Styela clava: one gene and its partners. The protein of the gene in region 4 purifies or fractionates together with the protein of the main gene of each other region. This does not show direct contact. Links are inferred from orthologs where the notes say so. Each region holds a gene or a part of one and is shown on either strand. Other genes may lie near its edges.

Region 1 (7,739 bases), on a different chromosome or scaffold from region 4:
GTACGGTTTTACTCTTTTACCCAGGGTGTTGACCACAGTACCAAAACCATTCAACATCACAATGTCTTCTGTTGTCTGTTCCTGGAATGCATACAGTATACCATCAATCAATTGCTCCTCAAGTCTGTGATCAATATCTGCTGAACCGAGATTCACCAAAATTTTGTCTATTGTTTCCATAACCATCTTTCTGTATTGTTCATTTTCATCTTTAAGATCATCCACAATCCGTTGCACCATTTCAGCTGAACCGACTTTGTTTGCAATTTCAACTGTTGTGTCAACTAATTGTCTGTAATTACGTCGATCGAGAGCCATTCTCTGGTTCCAAAAATGCTTGAAAAAGGGAGGCAGAATTTCATTTTTAATGTACTGGGGTTCAACACCATCCGTTCCACAACATTGCTTCACCACTTTAAGTACAATTTTCTTCATTTCTTCATCAGGTGACTGAAACTCTCGAATCAGGATCAACATTACTTCACGAGTGTAGTAATTTGCATACTCGGCATCCATAAGTGGAATGAGGTACCCAATAGCCTTTAAAAAAGCTGCCAAACCTTTTCCTCTATGAGTTCTGATACCTTTCCAGAGAGGTTTCAGCACACTGTCAAAGGATTCGATACCATAAGGTGTTGCAGCTTCAGCTAACGCAGCCAAAGCAAGGGCAGTGATGGTTCTTACTTTCTGTTGTTCATCTTCCAAACCATGCTCGATAATTTCAACTAAGTTTCTCAAATGTGGGAGAATGGCACAACCCATCAAAATAGCAATCTGTTGTGTAATCTTGATTCCAGTGTGACGTGCCTGCCAGGATTTTTTACTCCTGCAAACGGCTTTCAGAAAGGGAAGCAGGGAGGGAATTCCAAGGGCAGATGCGACAACAGCAAAGGCTCTTGCAGTCGTATTACGCACATATTCATCCATGTTGTCAATATCAGGTCTCATTACGGAAATCATAGTAGCAAGTCCAGCTGCTTTTGCCAAATTTGAAATAATCTCACGTCCCTCCACTCTGGCATAATAGTCTTCATCAATCAGAAGTGGTTCAATGACGACAAGAATTTTATGTACATATGGCCGAACCATATCGTCCAACTTGTAAAGAATCCTGTCGATGACTTTAACGAGAAGATGACGCTCTTGATCTTCAAGAGTGGGTGACATGAGCAATGGCAAAATTTGATTGAACAAAGGTCCTGCACCAAATTCCCGAGACTTGTCTGTTATCTGACGCAGTGCACTTTTTCTCATTGGCGGCGTGCCATTTTTGATTTTGAGTAGAAGTTTCATTATTTTTCTTTCTTTTTGTTCCTCTAAACTCAATGTTGATTCATCTACTTCAACAAGTAGTTTGTCAAAATACTGAATATCATCAGGTTTCAAGAATGGCAGATTCCCAGTCGGCTGATCAGTAATTCCTTTCATCGACTTGTCTTCAACCTGGATATGAAACCCAGTGGATCCTCCCATTGGGGTTGGAGTTGCAGTAATTTTTCTTGCAGGTGTACGAATAGGAACATAACCAGCTGGTGGTTGCAAAACTTTGTAACCTTCAGGGAACATTCCGTCAAGCTCTTCATCAGATAGTGGGCGATTTCTTTCATCAATTTCCCGTTCCCACCTCCATGCTTGAAGTTGCTCAGGTGTCATGGACATCAAATGACCAGGAGTTGGAGTAGCCATAGCCATTGCTTTTGTACCCATGGGTGTGACACCTGAAGGGGTAAAGAGTGAGGGTGTTCCTAAAGAGCCTGGTGTTCCCATTCCTGATTTTGGGGTGAATGCGCTTGGAGTTCCACCAGGGGTAAAAACTGGAGTAGCAGACCCCGGTGTTTGACTTCCCGGTGTGGCAGCAGCTGGTGTCAAATCCCATCTTGATTTTCTCTTGCTGGTACCACCAGGAATTCTCTCAGATTCGTCTCCATGATCAGCTCTTGGTGTTTCAGCCCATCCAATATTTCTGCCAGGGGTTTCTCTTTCCGTTTTGGGAGTTTCATCCCATCTGTTTTTCCTTACACTTGCACTCGGTGTACCACCGATGCCTGGGGTTGCATGTCCAGGAGTTGTAGCACCTGGAGTAGCATGACCAGGTGTGGCATCCCACATTCTGGTACTTTGTCCTGGTGTTACCATTGCTCCAGGTGTTTCGCCACCTTTTGGTCTGCCAGGTGTTTCATCCCATCGCAATGGTGTTGGTGCATGTCCAGGAGTGGAAGCATCAGCCTGGTCCCATGTCATTCGTTTTTTTGGTGCATCAGGGGTTGGAGTTGCATCCCATCGCCTCTTTCTTTCTCTTTGAGCAGGTGCAGCGTTAGGTTGAACAGCTTTAGCATTTCCATTTACATGGACATCACCAGACTTCAGCTTTTCACTAATTTTCGATCTAATTTCCCGTTCTTCTTTAGTAAGAGCTTGGTGTGTCATAACATCTTTGTACTGCGCCAATTGAGGATCAGGTGTTTTACCACCATCAGCAAAAGGATCATGACGTGCAGGAGATATAGCTCTTTGTAACCTTTGTCTTCTATATTGGTCTTCCCTGTTTAGAATAGGTTGTGCTCTAGTTTCTGCAAAAGGGTCATAAGATTCATCACTCTGTGGGATATCGTTAAGAACAGCTGCAGGAGCAGTGTATGTCTGTCGTTTTCCCAGTAAAGCGGCATTCACATCTTCAACTTCATCATCATCCTCTTGTTCATTTGGAGCGATGGATGTTACATATCCTGCAAATTTACTATTCGAACCGCCATAGATCTCCTGATCATAATGACCTTCTTGACCGAGTCCAACTCGAGCTTCACCATCTGTTGGTTGTTCAGGGGAACCCTCATCTTCATTCTTGCTCAATGCAACTTTCCTTTTTTGGATCGCCTCAATCTCAGACACATAATCATCCTTTGTTGCCATTTCGAGGCAACGTGTATTTGAATACCTTTAATACTATATTTTTTAGTGTTTTATATTATTCTAAAAGATAAAAAGCAATAAGTTATTAGCACTTTATTAGTTTTCGATAAGCTGTGCCTGTAGGCAGTATAACTCACTGCAAACAATTATAAATACTTACAGTTACAAGCGCCAATGCAATAACATTCAACAAGACTGGAGTTCATGATACACCAGTAGTTACCAAGATGGCTTTTAACACATGTCCTACTTGGCCAAAACAAACAATATTCAGCCTGATATGGAGAACAATGGATGACTTAGGAGCACTAGAAATTTTGAACATAAAGCTCATCTGGAACTCATACATTTGGATCCTTTCAAATTAATTATTTCAGCGCAAGTATCAAAAAATTATAGAATAAGCTTGTTAAAAATTGCTTGTTGGATTTCAATAAGCTATTACAAAAGAATTAGGTACCTACATATTCACTATATCTCAAATTTCCCAAAAACATTCATGAAATATTACAAACCGAATTACCAAATCAGTTTTTAATAGTAGATCAAAAAACAGTTAAGACCAGATGTGGCTTATTAACTGTAGTGTTGTAGTATCCCATTTAGCTACACACATCAACTTGGCCCCAAAAACCGCACTCCACATGGGCCACTACACCCTCAACAATTACAATTTTTGAGAAATATTCATCAATTTCACTTCAGTCCTATGAAGTTGATGTTGGCTTAAAAATATGACCTTTTTTAGACAGTACTTCCATAATACGAATCATGTTTTCGCAATCACTCGTACCTTGGTGAAGTTCACCAAAAACTTCCAAGTCTAACAATCGCAGCATAGCATGGAGTCGACCTTTGCCAAGTCTAGGCCATTTTCCCATCGTTAATGCATACGACTTGTTTATATTTACATAAGGATAAAAATATTTAGGTAAAGTCAAATTTTTCATCTTACATTCACTGGGTAACATTTTCATCAAGTCCCAATCACCAGATGTACAAAAAATAAAGTTCTTATTATCACTAAGGACATGTTTTTCCATCCAAATGTCAAACAATTGCATAACTTCTTTTAAAGTAGGCTTATCATCTACTTGGAATTGAGTAATTCCAGTTAACTGCATACAAAATTCTGATAATATTGGTTGTATAGTTGGTCGGACGAAGGAATGAAAACATTCTTCGATTTGATATGTTGATGAATTAACTTTAAATGCTGGAAATTCTATAATCTCTTGATCATAGGTTAGTTTTGATCTCTCACAAGTTGCTTCAAAATCAAGAACAATGAAATAGTCATATATCTGATGCCTTCTCAAGTCTTCCGGCTTCTTCTGCACAAGATCAGTGAGTAACACTTGTTTTTTCCTTGATATATTACGGCAGCTCAGTACGAGTGGGAAGAAACTTTGAGCTCTATTGTATTTTTTCAACAGAAGCATCATATAACTTAATTTGATCAATAGAAAAAAAAATATTCAAATAAAGTACTTATAATGGATGAAAATTTGGGGACCGGGTCCACTCATTTGATTAAGACGATGATCGCGTAATAACAGTTGCGTTTTTCTGAACTAATTTATAGTTTTGTGAGCAAAATAAAAATAACTACCCGTGGTAGTACAGCACCCAATACCTGTGCATACCTGAGATAATTGTGGTGGAATTTAGCTTAACAATGTCGATGGACCAAATCAGTGGTTGCCAACCTTTCTACCATGGTGGAAAAATTAAATAAAGTGTACTCGCAGACCGGCAAAAATTGAAATGAGTGGAACAGAACATATATTTGCACAATGTCGGACAATCAGTATATACTCTTCAAAAAAAAAGGGTACACTTAAAAACATTTCACATGAGGAAAAACTATCAAATAATGTGCAGAACAGAAAGAGCGCGCATGCTCATTTTCAGATTTTGGAAACTTGCGAGATTAGACGGAGCGATTCGCGATGAATCGGAACCGAAAAAGCGAAAAGTGTGATTACTCGGCGCCAAACGTCACCGGGCCATACCACACCTATCAAACAGCAATATGACGGCGGAAGAGAAATTGCGTAATAAACCAACGTAACTACCTCTTTTCGGCTTCAGTAAAGCGATTGGGGCGGTAGAAAAACACATTAAAATTTTCGCGGACCGGCGGTTGGGAAACACTCGACTAAATGACACTTACACTGACGATAAACAGTCAGGATTTATAACAAAAAATTAGCGGTGTTAAAAAGTGTGTGTGTTGTTAATGAGGACTTCTGGACTTCGATTTTACTGCATAATTTAAAACATTTCACTGGACGCCTAGCTGCTCTGTCTCTGTGCTTTCCAGTTTACCACAATTCATAGATAGGCCTATATGAATTGTAATGTTCATATCGGTACAGTAATACCGGTACAGGTTTCTTTTCCTAGAAGCAAGAAAATCACTAATTTCAATCATATCTGACTTACCATTTGTCTGTTTGTACTTATGACTGTTTTACAATGATACATTCATAAAGCTGTAAAGCCTAATTCCTATGTACTTGGATTTTAGAAAACTGAATAATATTTATGTCGGTACCTGTACCGGTACCTATGAAGCTATGTCTGTATGTGGGGGATTTTAGAATGTATTCGGAATTCCAGATTTGAAAATATTTTTTAGAATGTACGGGTATTCGAAATACTGAAGTATTAGATGATGGCCATCACTGTTAACTTTTCAAGCTCTACGTCTGTACATCCTTATATCGATACACATGTCTGCATGTAAACACCTGCAGACCTGTCTGTCTGACATTCTGACATTACATCATTATGTTTTCTGCCAAAAAGGTAAAAAATCTTGAGCCACAGCTCTAGTAGTGTAGTAGCAACTTTACCACATCATTTTTTGTATGTATAATGTACCGCACTTATTCCTCCTCCTAATCCACTTCTTCCAATGAATAATAGAATTTGGGGCCAAACAAATAGTGGCCAGCCCGTAACTTCCATCGACCAACGCTACATGGCAAAACGTTTTTCATGCGTTTCAGTATAGAATAGAAAGTATGTTGCCACATCTACACTTGTATAAAAAAAAACGAATTTCAAATATTTGTACCTTTACGCATTAAAAGTATTTAAAATTAAAAACTTACTAAAATAATAAGTTTAATACACATAAATTAAAAGTATATCAATAACATTTGAAAGTTTGTATGCGTGTATTGGCTGTAGTTTATAATTTAACATGGGTTGTTCTCCATTCTATTTTTCAATTATTCCCCGAAATTAAGTTCCATTAGTATTCCAATATTAGCCCTATAAGACTCATTTTATTTCTGACTTTTAATGCCTTCATGTACAATATTTTACTTGATAGGTACTCTCAAAGCGGGAACACTCAATTTACCTTTAGGCACCTCCTCTCAAGTATTTGTACACCTATCTCATTCCAGCGAATCGATGGAGTAGGCTATATTAGCAACATCTATGGGTGTTCATATTCACTGGAATCATACTATTAAATTTACAGTACGCGTCATTCAACAATATAAAACCCACAAAAAGCATATACTGTATTATTTTGCATATTCCAGCTTAAGCTCAATTTTGAGATCTTGCAATTTTTATTGTTTTTTTGTACCTTATAAACTGTCGTTTTAATTTATTTTGTTACTTTGTAATGATTTTGTTTAATGATTTATATATATGCTGCGCAATTTTTTCACTATTTACACAAAATGTTATTGTGTGTTCTTCAATCCGAAATACCCGATTCCACACAATTTATGCTCCATTTACTCAAAAATACTTATTCATGTCAAATTTGATCAATACCACACTTGATCAAGTGTGTAACATTTCCGAAATTTTATTTAGCGTTAAACGCCTATATGTTATTGCCTATTGTGTATTTCCTTTCCATGGAAACTTAATGTTGTTTTTAGACACACCTGAAATACGTTAAAACATATCTGAACCATTTTTTATTCATGTTTATTGATATTACTATCGGGTGGTAACTGACCCGATGACCGCATGGTCGTATCGTTGCCACCCAGTCAATACCGAAAACTGTTTTGCTTTTTGATAATTATGTTTTTTTGTTGTGTAAATTTTTTTCTGGTGAACAAAACAAATAAACTCTCACTCTCTGTATTGTCTTTCGTGGCCGGAAAGCAGAATGAGTATGATTGACTTGAATGAAAAAACACTTGTTTGTTGCTTTAAAAAATATATACGAAAATCAAGCAACAAAAAATTCTACATATACAAACATATTGGGAATGTAACAAAGTAAAAAAATCTTCAAATGCAAAAAGAGACCTATAATTAGTGGTTCAAATGCGTACTGATATCAATCCACATTATAGGTGAAATCAAATGTCACCGACATTTGTCACCGGTGGACATGATAATTTGTAAATCAACAGGCGAATGTCCATTCATCAACATAGCTCACATTTGACTTGGAAACCAGTGAAAAACACCTCCACAACTACAGGCATTATTGTGACGTAACAATGTAAAACCAAACACAAGTGACGTAACAACTAGCTTGACGTGAATCTTGCTGGATACGTTCTTCATCCTCATTCTCTATCAGAGATGTACTGGTACTACTTTTGCTGCCGATACTGACAAGATACCAACAAAACAAAAAACGCTGATACCGATATGCCGATATCATCGGATACCGATATTCCGGTACTATGTAATTATTAGCTCACGTGTGCAGGGCAGACGGTCTGTGAGCGTTGTTTGTATGTAGTAGTAGTAGTAGTAGTAGTATTTTATTTCGTCAACAATGTCAAAATCAAAATACAACATACAACATTTCAAAATTAATTTCCAAGGCATTG
Region 2 (6,263 bases), on a different chromosome or scaffold from region 4:
TCGCGAGGAAATCGCAAGTATAATCAAACGAGAGAATACTCTCGTCGTTGGTTAATAAATTGGAAACCCGTAATTTTTATTCAGTACGAAAGTCGATTTAAAAAAACTATCGTTTCCATAAATATCCGTATACCAGTGTCGGTAATGATAAAATTGATGGCATAAAAATGGGACGGTCAATTTGCGAAGGTGATAAAGGAAAACCAAAGCTAACACAAACGATATAAATCAGAATAAAATTAATTTGAATTCACTCCTTGATATTTGTCTTTAACATCTGCCACCGGCGTGTATTATTGCCAAGAATATGAAAACCCAACTTTAATGTCCCATTCGGAAAAGAAGTGGATTCAATTGGTTGTTATGATAGGTTTAAATGCGTGAAAAAATATCGCAATTACGGGGTCATTACGTAATTGATTTTGCCGTAATTACGGAATTGATTTTTGTCAATTACGTGCAAGCCTATTACCAGTTATTGATATTTGATCAATTCTCTATTACAGTGGTTTTTAGTGGGGTCAACGGAGTCCGAAGGCACTACACAAAGGAATTTTATAGGTTCCATCATGTGCTTCACATGCATAGGATGATATCAAAATACCGTACTCGGATTAGTCGCGCTCGCACAAGGCGAAATGTCAAAGTCAACTCGTAAACCAGGCTACAGTAGATCACATTTTCCTGGTCATATAAAAAGAAATTGTTTTATATCTTCATTCAAAGCAAAATAAGGTCTCATCTGCTTAAATTTGATGGAACGTTTGACATCTTTTGTTCTTGGGTAATGTGAGATTGTAGGCTATCCTTTAAAAGTTCACGATAGATCATATCTTGTATCATCATCCGAATGTGAGGCAGATTTGATGAAAAACATTGTTTGTGAGCAGTATGGACTATTCGAACAAGTCATCAAAATTCTTGAAACCCGTTTTCTATTATTCCATTTCCATTTTACCATGGGTAAATTTATTTCCTATAAATGTTTTGTTTTCAGTTTAATCGTTGATCTATTTTTCAGAATGGTGCCGTTATCGGAACATCTACAAACTACACGAAATGGGCTCAATATCAACCCAGGATTGGAAATGAATTCACCATGTACACAAACGTATTTCTACAAGCTGGGCTTACAACTTTTGCTTGGTGGGGTGAAGGCATGTACAACGCACCGCCGACATCTAATTCGAATGGTGTTGTTTGTAAACGCTGACGATTTATAACAAATGAGCCGTCTTTATAAGGCGTGATTGAGGGGACCGAGCGTCTAACTTTTATGTGATTTTTTCAATATTTGTCATTTATATAATACTTTTTATGGCACATCAAGAAAGAACGATTGAATAAACATTCTACCAAACGCTTGATTGTTTAGGCAAGATATTGTGAAGGCGATGTATTATTTCTTCACATTATTTAGAAACTGAATATTTTACGCTGTAAAATTTTCAAAATAAACCTTCAACACAAAAAGGAGAATGTAGGATTGAGTCCGGTCATATAGTGTATTCTTCTTGAGTACAATTTATTTTTAGAACTTTTTACTGAAGGGTTTCCACATCCTTTTTTCACGCAAGCCTTGGAAAAGTACATATTCACTTATTTGCATATGGATGCTTTTGTTTTCGAGTTTATCCTACTTATCAATTGAGGAAACATATATATGACCCTTGACGCTCCACTTCTCGTCTGTAATTTTCTTATACTTAATCTTTACAATTTTATTTTAGGGTTCGGGACTTTGCTTTGGGCAAACTTAAATATAAAATAAATTGATTTGTTTGAAGAGGTGGTAGACATAGGGGTTATAGAATTTAATGCATTGGCATTTAAAATGGAATGCTTTGAATACAATTTCAACTTATGATATTCAGTACTGTAGACCCATTTGATGATTTTCTGAAAGATGTGTGCACTCTTTAAGTTTAAATAAAGCAAATCGTCACATGCGAACCTTGACTTTAACACGAAATGCAGTTGGCGGGTCCTGTTGTTGTCGGAACATTTGAAATACAAGATAGCAATGCTCAAACATATTAACACGGAGGCCTAAGCAAAATATTTTACCAACAATCTCCCAATCTCCTCATTCATCTCAGGCTGAAGGTGGCTGGAACAGCGAACCCCCCCCTCCCCCCCCGTCATATATTTTAAGAACACGGTTATTTCGAACAGAACTCGTCAAACGATCGCTGGTCGATTACGACATCCCCCACCATCAAGTCCATGCTTCTAAAACGAATAACTGGCTAACTAATCCTGACATGGAATGGTAATCGTACGATGTTGCACCTTGCGATCTGTCCCCAACCACAGATAAATTATATCTTAAAAACTACCCACATTGGTAGGCATAGTTGCGTTTTAAATTGAAAGAAATCTTCATTAATGGTCATCAGGTGTTGTTTGTCTTATTGTTTTGTTAGTTAGCAGGTAATTTATTACTGATCTGATACACAAACTTGGCACTGTCAAATGATGATTAGTGTTTAATTTATTTTCAGGAAAAGGGAAGATAACCCATTATCAGCTGCTTATATGTCCCATCAATATTTGAATTTTCGCCATCCCCAGAGTGGAAGAGAATATTTAGAAAAAGGGGGATTTTGAAGAAAGGCAAAAGGCAGGACCATTTCAACAAATTTTGTTAACTTGTATGCGTTGCAATATTTGCAGTTGTTAGCATAAACATTCAATGTGTCTTTCGACTAGACCTACCACAATTTAAAAAAAGCCGCCTACACCCCTTTTCACTAGAACCATAATACTGTAAAATATTTGATATAAATTACCCCCGAGGCATCATATCTTCCATTTGAAAGGGCTGTGGAGGCAGATACATTTGTTACTCTAAATTGTTGAATGTTACTTTCAGGTTATCTTATCCTTGCTTATATATATCTTGAGGTTAGTGACTCCAACTGACTCATGCATGCCACAATGAAAATTCTCTTGTGTACCCATGAAATAAGGCTGTTGGAGCCTTCAGACCTTGAAAACAGTCGAATCTGAGCACGATGGATTCATGTGAAACACGTAATATGCATTTAGAGGCAAAAATATCCCATCCTGAGCAGCACCGATCCACAACCTCCTGCCTATGGAATCAAAACATTAGACAAATTGGTGTACTGTGCGCATTCTCAAATCTTTGCGAATCAAGTGTGCCTTTTGACTAAAGAAAATTTAGCATTGAAATGGTCAATATCAACCTAGTATCTGCAGATAAAACCAATTGTTTTTTAAAAATACATTTTTGATGTGCTTTATTTTTAAAATATAATTTATAATTACTGTAAAGTGTGTGATACATTTGGTACCATGAATACCATTTGCAAATTATCTTGGGTTACACCCCTCTCAAATAAAAGTTTAGACTCTTAAGTCATATCTCATAATATTCTTTAAAAAAAGTTGCGGCTAGCCGGCTACCCATCAGAATTTCTTTTCAGATCACAAAGTCGAAATATTACGCCTCGGTAAGTTTCATTGGCAACTGTATCTGGTTGTAGTATCGGTGTCCAACGTTTGACTAAAACCTTCCCTACCAAACCCACCAAAACAATTTTTTTTCTTGATAGGGTCGTCTTGAAGTTGCTTTCGTTAAAGAACAATGGACACTTTATCTCCACCAATCCACAGTAATCACAAGTTACTATGTCATTACGATAAGCATCAATAAATGGATACTGAGAATGTATTATCAAGTCACGCAAGCTGTCACACAAGGGGAGCCAGTTATTTGTTTTCAGAAGCATGGACTTGGATGGTGGGGAATGGTCGTAACCGATCAGCGGTCATGTGAACCACCCTCGGTGGGAGTAGAGCTGCAATCCTCTCGCACATAACTATCCCCGCACGGGATTGTGAAACTACCAGAGTGATCAGAGAGGCGGTGGCGAGCGTATTCATAGATGGCGAATTCAATTGAATTCTGGTTATTTTTTGCATGACCACTGGTGTTAAACTTTAGTTATCTATTCAACCTTTCACACTTAGTAATAGATTACCTGCTAATTAGGGAAACAATACCTTATAGCAATTGATTAATAATTCTTTATTGTCTTACATAGGTCAAGTCTGCAACTGCAAGTAGGCCCACGCCTAGGCCTACTAATAACAGTAGTTTGTCATCTGCTTTCCATTGAAATGAGGGAGCTTGTGAATATTTAAAAAAAAAGATATCGGCACACTATCACTCACTGTCAACGAAGTGCTATCTGCAAACAGTGAAACACAGGTAAGATGGCTTCTGGACTTGACACCAAGCAGTTCTGCCAATAGGCAATAGATAATATCCACATTGCGCGACGTTCCGGATCTTTTGAAATCAGTGGAATATAACTGAAGATCCATTTCGTTGTCTATACTTTACGTACAGCCAACGGAACAATACGAAATAACCATTTTCAACAGGCAAACAAAACGGAAACGTATAATCCGACTTGCAACTGACAGGAGCCAAATGGACGTTTTTGTTTTATTGCCGTCCAGTAAACAAGGTCACGTGACCCGTGTAAGTCCTCTATTTGGGTGTAGCTCTCTTGGTTCTTTATATTTTTGCATGTTTTTTTGTTTTTTACTGGTTGGAAAAAATAAATTTCACTTAACTTGACTTCAGCAAGCACGTAGGCTACTACTTCTTTTGACAACACCTTCTAATCTGAAATTTGTACGTTTTAGCGTAAATATATACTACTACGGTTTTAGCCCTTACTTAAAGATTTTGTTCGCTTTCCGGTTCTGATATCAGTTTTATTTATTTATTTTCTTATTATTATTTTATCGTCTTTTATGCTGAATATGGAGTCAAAATGAACTCATTACGACTTCACTGGAATATGCGGTCAAAGGTTATCACTGACCACTTTAGGCACTGTTGTAAAACATAATTCCCGCTTCGTTGACTGGCGTGTTTGTTGCGTTTCTGTTTTTCGCAGACTTCAGCTATGAAGCTCGCAAGATTTTTGATGAAACTCAGCCATGAGACAGTTACTATTGAACTGAAAAATGGTACCCAGGTGCATGGCACCATCACTGGCGTAGATATTTGTATGAATACGCATTTGAAATCAGTTAAAATGACTGTTAAGAACAGGGAGCCAGTCACCTTGGAGACACTCAGCATTCGTGGCAATAATATTCGTTATTATATATTGCCGGATTCTCTTCCATTGGATACCTTGCTCGTAGATGAAGGGCCTAGACCAAGAACCTTCAGAGACAGTCGTGGAGGCAGAGGAGGACGCGGTGGTAGAGGCCGTGGTCGCGGAAGAGGAATGCGTGGTCGTGGAAGAGGTGGCCCACCAAGGAGATATTAAAATAATAAGAATGCTGGATTTGAATATCGAGTTATTTGGGATTATTATTAAACAATTTTATGACCAATGAAATTTCCTTTCGACTTCATGCAGCTCAAAATAATCATATTGGCACTCTGTTTATCGTAATTTGACTGTACTTGCTGATAATCAATTATAAATCAGGGCTAAAGGAACTCCTTTTCAACCCTGGTTGTCTGGTTATCTAATGCTAGACAAGAAATTTGCGGTACACCAAAATTTTATCTTGCAGTTTTATTCTTAAAAGAAAAATTCATGTTTCATTGGGACTTACAATCATTTTCAAAAATTTCATCCTGCAGTCTTATTCCTAAAAGAAAAATTGTTCTTTTGCAATTCATTTCAACCATGTTTCATTGGGATTTACAATCATTTTATTACTGTATTACAACAATGAATATTTTACAATTGTTCTTTTGAATTTTTGCATGCGTGAAGAACTAATGTTTGTTCTCCAAACTGACAGAAATTAGAGGTATTCAGCAAGTCAATATGCCTTGTTTTTGAAACGGGTTTCCACAGATTATGATGCTCATTATGTATGAGAAGTTGTAACTGCATCAGATATTGCAATCATCTGCTTTCTCAAATATTTTTCGCCGCCACCAGACAGTTGAATTTGTTAGGAGAGTTCAGCAAGCAGGTTGAATAGTACGGTACTCCCTCAAAGTTACTTGGACATATTGCTATGAATTATCTAGCTGTTGTGGAAACTAGATTATATCTCAGAAAGATATATCTTATTTCTGACAGAACTAATGTTTCCCATATTTTTGAATGACACGGAATTACATGGGCCTGTTTAAATCGGGTTCGACAGCTTGGACTGAAATACTTCAGTCAACCCGAACCCCCCAGTAATCAGACACCAATCAAAGTTGATATATTGATTAACAATTTTAAAATATTATTTGAAAGATA
Region 3 (6,815 bases), on a different chromosome or scaffold from region 4:
AACCTTCCATACAAGCATGAAATATCGTTGTTTGGGGCGTATCATAACAATCAACAATAAGAAACGTAAACGAAAATTTCCACACGAAATTGAGACAACTCATGGCATCATATGCAACCATCAGTTCATATGCCACGAATTTTACACTTACTTTGTAAATGTTGGTCCTAATCTTGCATCGAAACTGACAAATAATTCTATGAAGTATTTGGGAAAACCTCAGAAAAATTCAATCTATCTGGAGCCTATACTAGCATATGAAACTATTTCCATTGTAAACAAAATGGATTCAAGAAAAGCTTCTGGTCCGGACGGTCTGTATATTCGTGTTCCAAATCTTATGATTTATATCATTAGCAAGTACTCTACAGATTTCTTTAAAGCATGCATGTAGCAAGGAGTTTTTCCTCAATGCCTGAAAGTGGCAAAAGTGACACCTGTGTTAAAATCAGGAGATCCAAACATAGTGAGCAATTATTAACCAATTTCAGTGCTCACAGCTATATCGAAAGTTTTTGAAAATCTTTCGCATTCCAGATTGACAGAATATTCGGACAAATTCGATATTTTGTCAGATAAACAATTCGGTTTTACATTGAAACACTCAACTATTCACGCAGTTTTAGACAGCGTTACTCATCATTATTAGGGATGGCGAAATCGAGTCCGGATTCGATTACAGAATCGATTCCATGCACCGGAATCGATTCTCGAGTTTGAAACTTTGTTTGCAAACAATGTGTAACGTTTAGTGGCAATTTCTTCACATATATATATATGTATAAACTGCTTCACTGCTATGTTGAGTTGCTACGACACCACAAACTTCACTATATATAATATATATATTATAAATATCGCTAGTAGGCTTTAACGTTTATTTATTTTAAAAATCTCTGTGGGTTTTGAGGGATTCGTTTTTTTTTTGTGCGGTTTTGTCTCCTGTGGCATATTGGATACCCATACTACTTAGTTTCGGCCTTCTTGTCCGTCCAGAATTTGAACATCGCTGTCTTGCTTGATTTCATATGGTATTGCTTGGGTGGGTATATTTTTTCGGTAATATGTCGAGGAATCGAGAATCGGAATCGAAAATTTAGGAATCGGATAAGAATCGAATACTTGTAAGTACTCATACTTGGCATCCTTAATCATTATATGAATATTGGGAGAAAAAAAACATTTTGTTAACATTTATGTCGACTTGGAAAAGGTTTTTGACACCATTGATCACTCAATATTATTGCAGTAAATTCATCATTATGGTATACGAGGTAAACCATGGCGCTGATCAAAAGTTACATAAGCGAACGTATGCAATATGTCATTTATGGTAATGTGAGGTCTACGTCAAAACATGTTAATATGTTTATACCACAAGGTTCTGTTTTGGGGCCTCAATTTTCTTGACTTTTCCGTGTAAATTTCTCAGTGAAAAATCAGATTCAGATATTTATTTTACCGTGCAAGAATCAATGTAAAGCAATAAACGCACACAAGAATAAAAAAATACGGGAACACACTGATTCATAACAATTGATGAGGGGTCGCGAAAAACTCAATTAGTCGTCTAATCAGCGATACCTGAATTGAGCAGAAAATATAGGGAAGAAACAAGTTTCAAAGAAAATTAACCAAAAAACACAATCACGAAGAGAACAACAATTAGTAATAGGAACTAAAGAAATTAGGAGAACCATTATTTTGGGTGAGTTTGGTGGAAAAACGATTTACATAATAAGAGTGTTCCATATGAGTGCACATCACTCTGCTTAAAAAATAGGTAGTGAATGCTGGAGGAAGTTTTTCGTTGTGGTGGTGATGGTGCATTAATTTCAACATTTCAATTTTGTAAATATCAACCAAGTCTACGATAAATAGGACTAAGACGAGTGCATATTCTACATCTGAAATCGCTTGATTCTGTAGAATTTCGATGCGATGCAATAAGGTTTTATCTGCTGAACCACGCGCCACAATACCATATTGAATATGGGATTGAAATAAAGAATAGGAGACCATACGTAAAGTGGTTAGCTATGTAAAATGTCGAAGCTTGTATAGTATTCCCACTGACTTGGCTAATTTAACAGCCAGGTCAGATATTTGAACGTCCCATGCACTTCATTTTGTTATCTATATATAAACCAAGATATATATATGAATTGACATTTTCAAGTTCTGTATCATCAATTTGGACTGTCAGACTATTTTGAGCTTTACTTTTATTTGGTGATATTAATTACCATAGTTTTTGATTTATCGATGTTTTTTGGCTCTCATACAATTTGCTACTTTTGCAATTTCAGTGTTCACTCTCTATTGAAGGGCTACATGAGATTTGTCACTATCGAGGAGATTGGTATCATCGGCAAACAATTTGGAAAATAATGAAGAACAACGAGTTATGTCTAGAGCTGGGCATTTCGAATCGCCGCCATCTTATTTTTTTTTCTCATCGCCAATGGTCAACGTATATTCCTTAATTTTTTTTTTATTGAAGCCTTATTTTTTCAATGCATTCCAGACATATGACTATTTTCTGTAGTGATTTATTGATAAAACGTGTTTCTTATTGCGTGTGAACGCTCGCAATTTGTCTGAGTGATGTATTCTACGTTTTCAGTAATTCATTCGTTGAAAGAATCAGTTACAATAAAAAAAATTGTATACAATTATATATATCTCAAGTATTCGAGATTCGATTCGATTCTGGAATCATCAGGTATTCGAATATGCCCAGCCCTAGTTATGTCATTAATAAATACAAAAAATCTAAGAGGTCCTAAACAACTACCTTGTGGGAACCCGTGAAACACCGGTAAGAAAAGGATTTGTACCTACTTGAACATACTGTGTGATCTGCCGCTCAATTTACGCCTTACGGTATCGAAGCTCTTCTTCAAATCTAAAAAGGTTGCACCAACAAACTCCTTTTTTTATAGTTTGTCATATATAAAAAATATAGTACCCAAAATGGCATACGATGTTGAAAACTGTTTTGGAAACCGAATAGAGATTAATTCATGACAACATATTTAATGAAAAAACTAGTAAGCCTCTTGTGAATTGAGCGTACAAACAAAAATTTTATCAATCGATGAAAGAATAGATATCGGTCTATAATTTGAAGCAAGTTTTTTGTTTCCAGATTTAAAAAGAGGAATTACCCGCTCAATTTTGAGAGATGAAGGGAATATGCCGAGTGAGAGATAGCAATTAAAGAACTCTGTTAGACACGGAGCAACAAGGTCAGCAACATATTTGAGGCCGGAATATTGTCTGGCCCAACTGCCTTCCTAACCTTCAGATTTTGAATTTCTACCAACAGTTCATTTGCGGTAGCCAAACTCATAAAAATGGACTTGCTCACGCGATTATGGGGAAGATGTTTGAAATTACCCGAATCATTTGAAAACTTCTCAGAGAGGCTGGACCCAATGGTTCAGAAGTACTTAAATTTGTTCGAAATCGAAAAGTCAAACCTAGTGATACTGCCATTTTTCAGACAGATTTCCTCAACTTGTTGCTTTGATTTATTATGTGTGTTTTTGATTTTGTTAAATATTTGCCATGTTGATCTAAGGTGTGCGTGCTGGTGGGCAGGCACATGAGATACTTCATGTTTTAAACTTTTTTGTAGGTTTTGCTTGCCCTCCAGAATTCTCCATTTTTAATTTAGGTTTGTTATGGAGTTTTCGAAATAAACTATCTATCTATCTAAGGTTACCTCTGTTTTGGACAATAAGGTTTTGGTAATAACTTCGTTTTGGTTTCTTTGCGATGAAGTCTTGGCTTTTTTTTATCTCCTCCACTTCAGAGGGATAGTTGAGATTTCACTTCCTTCAGAAATTCATCTAGTGATGACAACGACTCCTGGATGCCAATACTAGAGGGGGGAGAGTAAAGAAACATCATGGGCCAACCTTTCCATGGGTTGTTTAATGATGGTTGGTATTTCAAGTCTCAGAGTTTTTAATATTTCACTCTCAAGCACTGTTACCAGGTCGGACATTTTACTTTCGGGCAGTTTGGTAACTGTATAGGTACTAGCAGCTTGACGATCAGTGGAGCTTTTGCGCTTGACATTTTCTTGTACGAAGATCAAAAGATCGTAACTGACGTTTTGAGTTCAAGCAGATAGATTTTCAGATGTTTTAAGAATACATTATAGAGTATATATTATAAAGTATAGACTATGGTATTGCTCAGCTATATCTGCAAACTTAAAACAGCGAATATATAATCGATTTTTTTTGTGTATTCGTGCTCTCGTGTTAATTTGTGACTTCATTGCATAAAGATGAATGCGTTTGATAGCTTCTGTAAAATAAACGCAACTTCTTATGCTGTTCTTTGTTGTAAATTGCTTGGCTAGGGAGGTCTGATTTTGGTCAGACGAAACGTTTCTAAGTGTGCAGCAGGACTCTTGAATTGCATAGTTACAGAAAATGTGCAACTTTCGTTAATGGGAACAAGCTGTAATGCGTTTAGTGTGTTGATTTTCATACGAAACTAAAAAAATTATTATATTACCATATGTGCGATACGAAACTCATTTTATAGTCGTTTTCGAGGGCCTCGTCTCACGGTATATTGGAATTTTTAAGGGGTCAAGGGTCGGGGAAACGAAATTACTGATTGGAGTCTACTATATTATATACGACTTACTTTTGCCGCTCGTACTCGTAGCTCGCTTGTCGGTTGGTGAGTGGAATTTTCTTTTCAGCGTCATTGCTGGATCATAATCGGTTTTAATCTGTATCTACATACGGAGTAACTGCAAAATGGCGTGAGTACAATATAACAGTTTTTATGTTTTATAAACTAGTTATCAACATGATTTTGCATGAGAAAAATAGCGACAATGTGAATCATTGGTTAGTTAATGTTTGAGGGAGCCCTTGGAAATTTTCTACTACAAAAATGAAACGTTAGGAGCAATATAATATTTCCATGTTTTATTTGCAAAATAGGTTTTTAATCATTATTTTAGTCAAAAGACCCGCAGGTACCGGTACCTCCCAAAAAAATCCCCAAAAAATGATGACGTAAAATCCGGTACCGGTACATAACCACGTGAATATACAGGTAATACGGGTAGCGCTATAAAACCATGGCGAGAGGTACCGTGATTCTTTCGTGGCAGGTGCCATCATGAAGTGGTAATAATTGTGTCACCTGTTTTGCGCTGGTTTCCACTGTTTCGCGCTGTTTTCCTCTGTAATGCGATGTATTCAGTAAGTAGTACAGTAGTAAGACCCCCGTTAACAGCCTTAATTATAGTAACTCAGTAATTATCAATATTTATAACGATAGTTAGCCTACTTCTACTGATTGATATTAACATTTCATACTTGATATAATCCTGTAATCTGAACTCGAAATATGCTTGTTTTGGCTTTACAGCTTTAATGTTGTGAGTGAAGCGGTCTAGTCCACCTCCAGTCTGCCAGACCGCTTTATACATTCAACGACTGAACTAGGCAATACAGAAATCCCCATTTGGTATCAAGTTACTGCATAAGGCAGTAAGTGGACTCTCAAATACTGAAATATAGACAGCTTGACAATATCTTTTACCCCATATTTTCCTATACGTTTCGCTCCAGTTTACTAATTCGGTATTCAATTCGACAACTACAGTGCGCTTGCAAACAAACCAAGGAGTGAGATGACTGCTGAGGAGTTGGAGGCACGAGAAAAAGAAGAATTTCAAACTGGTCCTTTATCAGTGTTGACTGATTCAGTGAAAAACAATACACAAATATTGATCAACTGCAGAAATAACAGAAAGTTACTTGCTAGAGTTAAAGCATTCGATAGGTAAGCAGATTTTGCTATATAAAATATTGCTAAAGTATATGAAACGGTATTGTAAGTTCCCACACAGATTTGATTTATTCTCATGCAACAACAGTTTTATCTCTGTTAACAGGCATTGCAATATGGTTCTGGAAAATGTGAAGGAGATGTGGACAGAAACTCCAAAAACTGGTAAAGGAAAGACGAAGCAGAAGCCTGTTAATCGTGATCGTTTTATAAGCAAGATGTTTATTCGTGGAGACTCTATCATTATTGTGCTGAAGAATCCTCTTGCTTCAGCTGAGTCCAAGGCTTAGTTGTTTTTTTTTTCGCAGCTACATCTAGTTTGACATATAGATGCCTAACTGCTGTAGCTGCGAATATCATTTTTATCAACCTGCTTGAAGACAAATTTTCAGGTATTCCTGCGCATATATGTTGTACAGGAGCCAGAAGTCTGCAATCATGGTTTTATATTGATTTTCAATAAAAAGAAGACATTGTTTCAAATTGTATTGCGTCGAGTCTGCTATAGTATTAGTGTGCAGTCAATTTTGGAAGAAAACTATCACTGCGTCTGGGATTCTTTGAAAACTGATATTTAGATATTAAAAACTAGATGTGTATCTGAGCGTAGCTCTGTGCAACAAAAAATAAGATTTCTCAGCCCTAGTATATTGGGTGTTTGATGCGTCCAGTGAACTAACTTTATTCATTGATATTATTTTGTGACAATTTCGCTTGTAGTTATTCCAAATTGAAAGAAAGTTAACGATCATATGGTGTTATACTAAATAAAATCAGCTTTGGAAATATTTCTCTGGTACGATAATTGGTGATGTTTATTACCTTTATATTAAAAGTAGGCGTAGTCCATTTGTAACGGTTACAAGCTGACATATAATGTTAGGCGGTGGTTCCCCGTTTTTTTTTAAGAGAAATGCGTGAAGAATTTCTTATTGGCACGCAGACCTCGACGAGAAAAAATAAAACTATCACGACGAAAGATA
Region 4 (7,066 bases):
TTTACTTTAATATATGTTTTTATCAGTGGCGGCGCGTCAATAGGGCCAACCGGGGCAATGCCCCGGTTGTTTTTTCGGTATAATAAAAAATATTCGAAAAATACCTCAATATCGGTTGCACAGACCGTCTACACTAGCCATATTCTCCCGACATGGTTCATTTTTCGCTCGCAAAGCCTTCGCCGAACGTCGACGGGGCGACGCCGATTTTGCTCATTGTATATCGTATTCTCTCTTTTATCTTCCACTCGCTCGTTTGTTTTCTGTTTCTTTTACTAAATCATTGGGCCGATCGGGGCTAGCCCCGAAATTATGACGACACAATACCGGCGTTTCTTACAACAACGTGTTGACATATTCACGCATTCCTTCTCGTTCGTTGGTTGCTTGAAGAGTTGATAGTTTCCTCGCCTTCGTTTTTGTCGCTTGTTTCGCTATTTGAATCAGTTAGAGACTTTTAGTCCATTTGCTTTCGATTTTCCACATTCCTTTTGAGCTCCTCACTTCTTTCCGGCTTCGCATTTCTTAGCCTTAGACCTCATAATGAATAAGGTTGATGCACTACTTCGCACTCCGTTTTCGCAGCTGCCGCTGGAACAAAAATTAGAGGTACAACGTCTTGGGCCTTATCAACCAAAAAATTGTTCACTGGAACAATCCCATGACGGAGGAAAGCGTCGGCGTACATTCTGCGCAGAAACTTGGTATAAAAAAACACGAATGGTTGTGTTACAGCGAGGACAAAAATGGACTTTTTTGTTTTTATTGCCTACTTTTTGCTACCGCCCGTGACTCACGTTGGTGTAAATTTGGTTTTAGAGATCTTAAACATCTTTCCGAGCGTGCCAGGGATCATCAATCTTCTATGGAGCATCTGGACAATGCAGTAAAATACCGAACATTCGGAAATGTTAATATTGCAGCACAGTTGGATGAAGGACGCGCGGTTTCTATTCGTCGGCACAACCAAAACGTCGAGAAAAATCGCCATGTTCTCGGTCGATTGATAGATGTTTTGAAGTTCATTGGTTTTCACGAGCTGTCCCTCCGTGGGCACGATGAACGGGCTGGCTCTTCTAATAGAGGGGTATTTTTGGATATGGTGGAATACACCGCATCCCTAGATACAGTATTGAGAGATCATCTTGATGCCGCAACTGTTTCGAAAGGGACATCTAAGGATATCCAAAATGATTTGCTCGACTCAATGTATAAAATTTATTTACAACATTTGGCTCTGGAAATTGAGAATTGCCAGTTCCTTTCGATTCAGTCTGACGAGACAACTGACATCACGTGCGTTTCCCAACTGGCTGTGATTTTTCGGTTTGTGAAAGATGGTAAACCTACCGAGAGATTTCACAGCTTTGTACCAATCGTTGATCGCACGGCTTGCGGGATATCGGCTGTACTGAAAAAAGTGTTACAGCCTTACAACGCGAAGTCAAAATTGATAGCTCAAACTTATGACGGCGCGGCAGTCATGAGTGGGTCGAAACATGGTGTTCAAGTTTATTTAAAAGACGATTTTCCTCATGCGCATTTTTTACATTGTTATGCACACCAATTTAACCTCGTTATTAAAAATATGTGTCTTGATACCCCTTTCGTCCGTATATTTTTTGCAAATGTTTCGGGGTTTTCTTCATTTTTTTCCGTTTCGCCGAAGCGCTCTGACCTCCTTCGCCAGATATGTAGCCGCCGTCTCCCAGCTTGTGCACCAACACGTTGAAACTTCCAATCACGCGTGGTGCAGGGCGTGTCCGAAATTAGGTCTGAGCTCGTTGAGTGTTTCAATGGCATTCAGAGCTATCCGGTTTGGGACGAACGCTCTGTGAGGGAGGCGGCAGGTCTAAAGCGTCTGCTAGAAGATGGTGAGTTTTTAATTTTTTCTCGCTTTTTTCTCCACAATATTCTATCACGTGGATGTATTATACGGCGCATTGCAGTCAAGGCTAATGGATGGAGCGTCTGTGCAGTCGTGTATTTCAGACTTCTGCGATGCTGTATCTCGTATCCGGGAAACAATAAAATACGACGACACATGGAGTGCTTCTTTACGCCGCGGGCAAACAACGCAGCGTTTGATTTTGTCTGCAAAGGAATGCTGTGACATTCTTGTGAATCAAATAGGCGATCGTCTGCGCACTGAACACCTTGCCGCGTTCTCTTTGATGAATCCCAAAAATTTTTTAAAATTTGCACGGTAATTTCCCATCCATTTGTTGGCTACTGTTTCCAAATTTTACCCCACGTTAAACGTGGGTAAATTGGAAAATGAATTGCGATGTATATACACCAATCAAACTTTTTTGAACATCACATCAACTTGCGCGCTCTATGGGTTCCTCATAGATAACACTCTAGTAACTACCTTTGCGGCGTCTGCAAAATTTCTGGACATCATTTTGACGACGCCTATTTCTTCCGCCGACGCAGAGCGAACATTCAGCACGCTGAAGCGTAATAAAACGTATCTCAGAAACACAATGAAGCAAGATAGATTAAATTCCTTGGCTGTTTTATCCATTCACAGAGACGTTATTTCTGGGATGCATGACTTTAATCAGCGCGTTATTGAGCATTTTGCTTCCAAGAAACCGCGGCGTGTTGCATATATGTTCAAGCAGTAGAAGTCTAGCAGCATATATATCCATGAGTGAGCGACGCCTGTCTTTATCTTTGCATTAGCTTTCCTTTCTTCATAGTAACGTTTTAAACCTTATTTTAGGTTTTGTCTGCTTTCCCGAAGTTTCTGTTAATATGTCATTGTATTTATCTGGGTAAATATTGCCTTTCCTTTTGAAAGAGGTTTCAAAACGATTGAATGGTTTTTATACTCATAAAATGATGGGAGAACTTACAGCGCTCATTCTGTCCCCATAGATGGGGGTGACTTAGTCCCACAGTAGCTTGCCCCGGTTGTCAAAATGACCACGCGCCGCCACTGGTTTTTATGTGTGTAATATGGGTAAACTGACACATGTGTTTCTGCGTGTTGTAAACCACATCACGGGTTTTGCCAGTTTTTTCGATTTTCCAATCTTTTGCGTGTTCATTGTTTAGTGTATTTTTTTTTCAAGAAGGTTAAAATAAACTTATATCCAAAATTCTGACTCCGAGAATTCAAAATTTCGACTCTGACAAGTTTGCAAATACGACTCCTACAAAAACATGCCAAAGTTTGACTCCACAACTCGCAAGTCTATCATCAGTGCATTGGTGACTACATTGACTGACTTTATTAGTTGCGTTTGATGTAATTTTTAAACACACAAGCGAATTGCAACTTACTACAGTCAGGTAGTACCGGTACTACAATATAGGCTACCAGTAAGATTTATTTCGGCATTCTGATAACGCACCACTTCATCCAACAATAAGCTAAACGGTTTGGCAGAAACGCATAAAAACGAGAGGTAGGATTTACATAGGATAGGATTTTACATATTTATCCCGGGGGAGAGGAAAGCCGATAAGACGGCGTATCCATATGGCGAACCACGGCCTCTCGTCCGGTTACCATTCCAAGTCGGGTACCGGTATGGGATTAGTTTTACTGTATTGTTTGTTTTCGGAAGCATGGACTTGGTGGTGGAGGAAGCCGTAACCGACCAGCGGTTACGTGAACCACCCAACGACGGCAAGGAGTCCAGCAATCCTCTCGCACATAACCATCCCTGCATGGGATTCGAACCTGCGAACCCACGCAGAGTAATTAGAGGTGCGGTGGCAAGCGTATTCCTAACGCTTAGCCCGTTGAGCCACACCGCCGCGCCATACCGTACCGGTACCGTATATATCGCGGAGAAGAGGGAAAACGATAAGACGGCTTGATCACATGCTGACATGGCTGCATGGCGAACCACGGCCTCCTGCCCGTGGTGCGCGATGCGCCACATCTCCGAGTACAAGAGTACGGTTACAAATGGTACAGAAATACAAAAAAATGGTTCTCTGTCTTCAGGCCAAGGTACCGGAAATAGTAACAGTAACTGGCTGACTGGACAGGACTAACCATTACGGTATTACTGTATCAACTCGTTAAGCTACTGCTTCTTTCATTTCTATAGTCTACTTTACCCTAAACATAATATAACAGTGATACACTGGTAAAATGCCTAGAATAACAATTAAAGGAGGTGTGTGGCGGAACACAGAAGATGAAATTCTGAAAGCTGCTGTAATGAAATATGGTCTGAATCAATGGTCTCGTATTGCTTCTCTACTTCACAGAAAGTCTGCGAAGCAGTGCAAAGCTAGATGGTAAGAATAAAAGAACCATCGTTTTACTCTTGCTGCTATTGTGAACTGCTCTGACACTGATATCAACCATATTTTTTCATTAAAATTGCACGGCGAAACATTGCAGAACAAGTTTGGCTACAGTTACTGCAAAAAGTTTTTTTTTCAAATTTTACGTGAAATTTAAAATATTTTGACATTCTCAGCGCAATGATGGCCTTTCATTTAGGACAACCCAGTGGCGTATGTAGGGTATAAAACTCATGTTTTTACTGAAATGATAAGTACAAGTATCTCAATTCAAAATCAGCCATTGAAAATTGTCAGCTAGCGATGAAGGGGGCTTTTCTTAACTCTGCCATGGGTGCCATTTTATATGGATACGTAACTGCAGAACAGGGACAACTTCACACAAAAAATGCTAATCATCTGGTGAAAAAGACTTCAGACATAATATGATTTTTTGTAGGTACGAATGGCTAGATCCGAGCATCAAAAAAACAGAATGGTCAAGAGAGGAAGAAGAGAAGCTTCTTCATTTGGCCAAGTTGATGCCGACACAGTGGCGTACAATTGCTCCAATAGTAGGGAGAACAGCAGCACAATGCCTTGAACATTACGAATATTTACTTGATAAAGCTGCTCAGAAAGAGGATGAAGATGACGATGCTCAGGTTTGCCATGTTTTATAACTAAATGTTTATTACTTCAAATGTAATTGGTTATGTATTTTTTATTGAAATTTAAAAAATTTTGAATGGATGAATTTCTTTTTCATGAGAGCTTTTCTTCTAAACGTTGACAGTATATAACAAGCTACTACTGGATTTTGTTTTCTTTTGTGAACCAACTTGTCATGTTCCGTATTTTACACACTATGTTAGATGGTTATTCCAGACTCAACTCTGTATTGACTAGTAATCGAATACCGATATGCAGAATGCAAGGCCATTCGAATCTTGAAAATATTATACTCTAATGAATTGTAAAAAATTCCATTACTAGTTCTATACTAACTTTAAATTCAAAATTGTGTTATATTTTGGGGGTGTTAGATGCCCCGGAATTATGTTAAAATAAGATTGGGTTGGATGAAATGGGTGATATTGAAAAAAGATGTTTATGTTCTGTGCATGATTTTCTAAAACCCAATGTTATACGCACAAAACTATGCAACCTTTCTGGAATTTTATGCATGTTTTCAATGCTGCAAACAGCTGTTTAATTAACATTTTCGAATGCAAAGGACCCATCACAAAGTCAAAAATGAATGCAGTTGTAATTATAGATTGGGGGTCGGCAAACTAAGATAATTCCATTTTGTCATGCATATAATTGTAATGTGTAGCTTTTATGAAATACGTTCATATTACAGGATGATCCAAGAAAGCTTAAACCTGGAGAGATTGATCCAGCACCAGAAACTAAACCTGCCAGGCCTGATCCAATTGATATGGATGAAGATGAATTAGAGATGTTGAGTGAAGCAAGAGCAAGACTTGCGAATACTCAAGGTCATTAGATATTATTATTAAAATTATGCGAATTTCAATATACAGTATTGGCTAAATGTTTGAAATATTACAGGTAAAAAAGCAAAGCGAAAAGCAAGAGAGAAGCAGCTGGAAGAAGCCAGAAGATTGGCTTCACTTCAAAAACGTAGAGAACTTCGTGCAGCTGGTATTGGAGTTCGTAAAAGGAGGCGAAAGAAACGTGGTGTTGATTATAATGAGGAAATTCCTTTTCGTAAGCTTCCTGCAGCAGGGTTTCATGATACTTCTAATGAGACCTTCAATCCAGATGATCCAGATTTCAAACGTTTGAGACAGGAACATCTTGATGATGTCAGCAGACAAAAGAAGGAATCTCAAGAAAGAAGAAAAGACAAACAAAAAGTCAAGGATAAAGAGCTGCCTTCTCTAATAGCTAAGCCGACAGAACCAGTTAAGAAACGGTCCAAACTTGTGCTTCCTGCTCCACAGATCTCTGATGCAGAATTAGAAGAAGTTGTAAAGCTTGGTCAAGCTTCTGAAGCTGCTAAACAAGTTGTAGAAGAAGGAAATGCTGCTTCTGATGCTCTACTTGCAGATTACAGTGTTACTCCAAACGTATCTGCAATGAGGACTCCGCGCACACCAATGATGCAAGTTGATACTGTTATGAAAGAAGCCCAAAATATAATGGCGCTGTCCAATGTTGACACTCCTTTGAAAGGTGGACTGAACACAGAAGTGACCGATAGTGATTTTTCCGGGATCACTCCGCAACAGAAATACATTCAAACACCAAATACAGTTATTTCTACACCCTTTCAAACTCCTGCTGATAAAAATCCAGCAGCGACACCAGGTATGCTGACTCCGGCTTCTAGCATTCGAAATACACCTGGTATGACACCAGTCAGGGATAAACTTAACATAAATGTAGAAGGTTCAGATGGGGGAGCCACTCCATTTGATGGAATAGATGAAAGACAGCATTTGAAAGCCTCCCTCATAAAGTTACCTGCGCCTAGAAATGATTTTGAAATTGTTCTTCCTGAAGATATGAATGGTGAAGGGGAAGAGGAACATCATGATAATATTCCATCTGATTTTATTGAAGATGCTGCCGAAATAGAGGCAGAAAAACAAGCAAAAATAGAAGCAGCTAGAGCGGCTGAACTTGAGAAAAGGCACACTATTATAAAAAGAGAGCTGCCAAGACCTTCCGTAATAAATGAAACTATTCTTCGACCAATGAATGCAAAAACCAAAGCTAACTTAAACTCGCTTCAACTTGCTGAAGAAGAAATAAAACGAGAAATGATCAAAATGATGCG

The links.
Region 1: the proteins of cell division cycle 5-like protein (region 4) and splicing factor 3B subunit 1-like purify together in Homo sapiens (affinity purification with mass spectrometry; 5 studies listed by BioGRID and IntAct, with this or other methods). This does not show direct contact. The link is inferred for Styela clava from reciprocal best matches to the Homo sapiens genes CDC5L and SF3B1.
Region 2: the proteins of cell division cycle 5-like protein (region 4) and small nuclear ribonucleoprotein Sm D1-like purify together in Homo sapiens (affinity purification with mass spectrometry; 4 studies listed by BioGRID and IntAct, with this or other methods). This does not show direct contact. The link is inferred for Styela clava from reciprocal best matches to the Homo sapiens genes CDC5L and SNRPD1.
Region 3: the proteins of cell division cycle 5-like protein (region 4) and small nuclear ribonucleoprotein Sm D2-like fractionate together in Homo sapiens (co-fractionation; 3 studies listed by BioGRID, with this or other methods). This does not show direct contact. The link is inferred for Styela clava from reciprocal best matches to the Homo sapiens genes CDC5L and SNRPD2.

The regions. Positions count from the first base shown.
Region 1 is NC_135251.1:15,526,376-15,534,114, forward strand, and holds the start of splicing factor 3B subunit 1-like, read right to left. Parts: upstream 3,012-7,739; 5' UTR 2,911-3,011; coding exon 1-2,910. Other genes in the region: ERI1 exoribonuclease 3-like, read right to left, coding at 3,618-4,355. UniProt on the Homo sapiens protein: Component of the 17S U2 SnRNP complex of the spliceosome, a large ribonucleoprotein complex that removes introns from transcribed pre-mRNAs.
Region 2 is NC_135254.1:11,227,653-11,233,915, reverse strand, and holds small nuclear ribonucleoprotein Sm D1-like, read left to right. Parts: upstream 1-4,891; 5' UTR 4,892-4,949; coding exon 4,950-5,321; 3' UTR 5,322-5,750; downstream 5,751-6,263. Other genes in the region: uncharacterized protein LOC120344877, read left to right, coding at 1,022-1,213. UniProt on the Homo sapiens protein: Plays a role in pre-mRNA splicing as a core component of the spliceosomal U1, U2, U4 and U5 small nuclear ribonucleoproteins (snRNPs), the building blocks of the spliceosome.
Region 3 is NC_135253.1:644,746-651,560, forward strand, and holds small nuclear ribonucleoprotein Sm D2-like, read left to right. Parts: upstream 1-4,631; 5' UTR 4,632-4,787; coding exon 4,788-4,792; intron 4,793-5,646; coding exon 5,647-5,826; intron 5,827-5,938; coding exon 5,939-6,122; 3' UTR 6,123-6,315; downstream 6,316-6,815. UniProt on the Homo sapiens protein: Plays a role in pre-mRNA splicing as a core component of the spliceosomal U1, U2, U4 and U5 small nuclear ribonucleoproteins (snRNPs), the building blocks of the spliceosome.
Region 4 is NC_135252.1:11,955,293-11,962,358, reverse strand, and holds the start of cell division cycle 5-like protein, read left to right. Parts: upstream 1-4,039; 5' UTR 4,040-4,117; coding exon 4,118-4,266; intron 4,267-4,714; coding exon 4,715-4,919; intron 4,920-5,620; coding exon 5,621-5,759; intron 5,760-5,832; coding exon 5,833-7,066.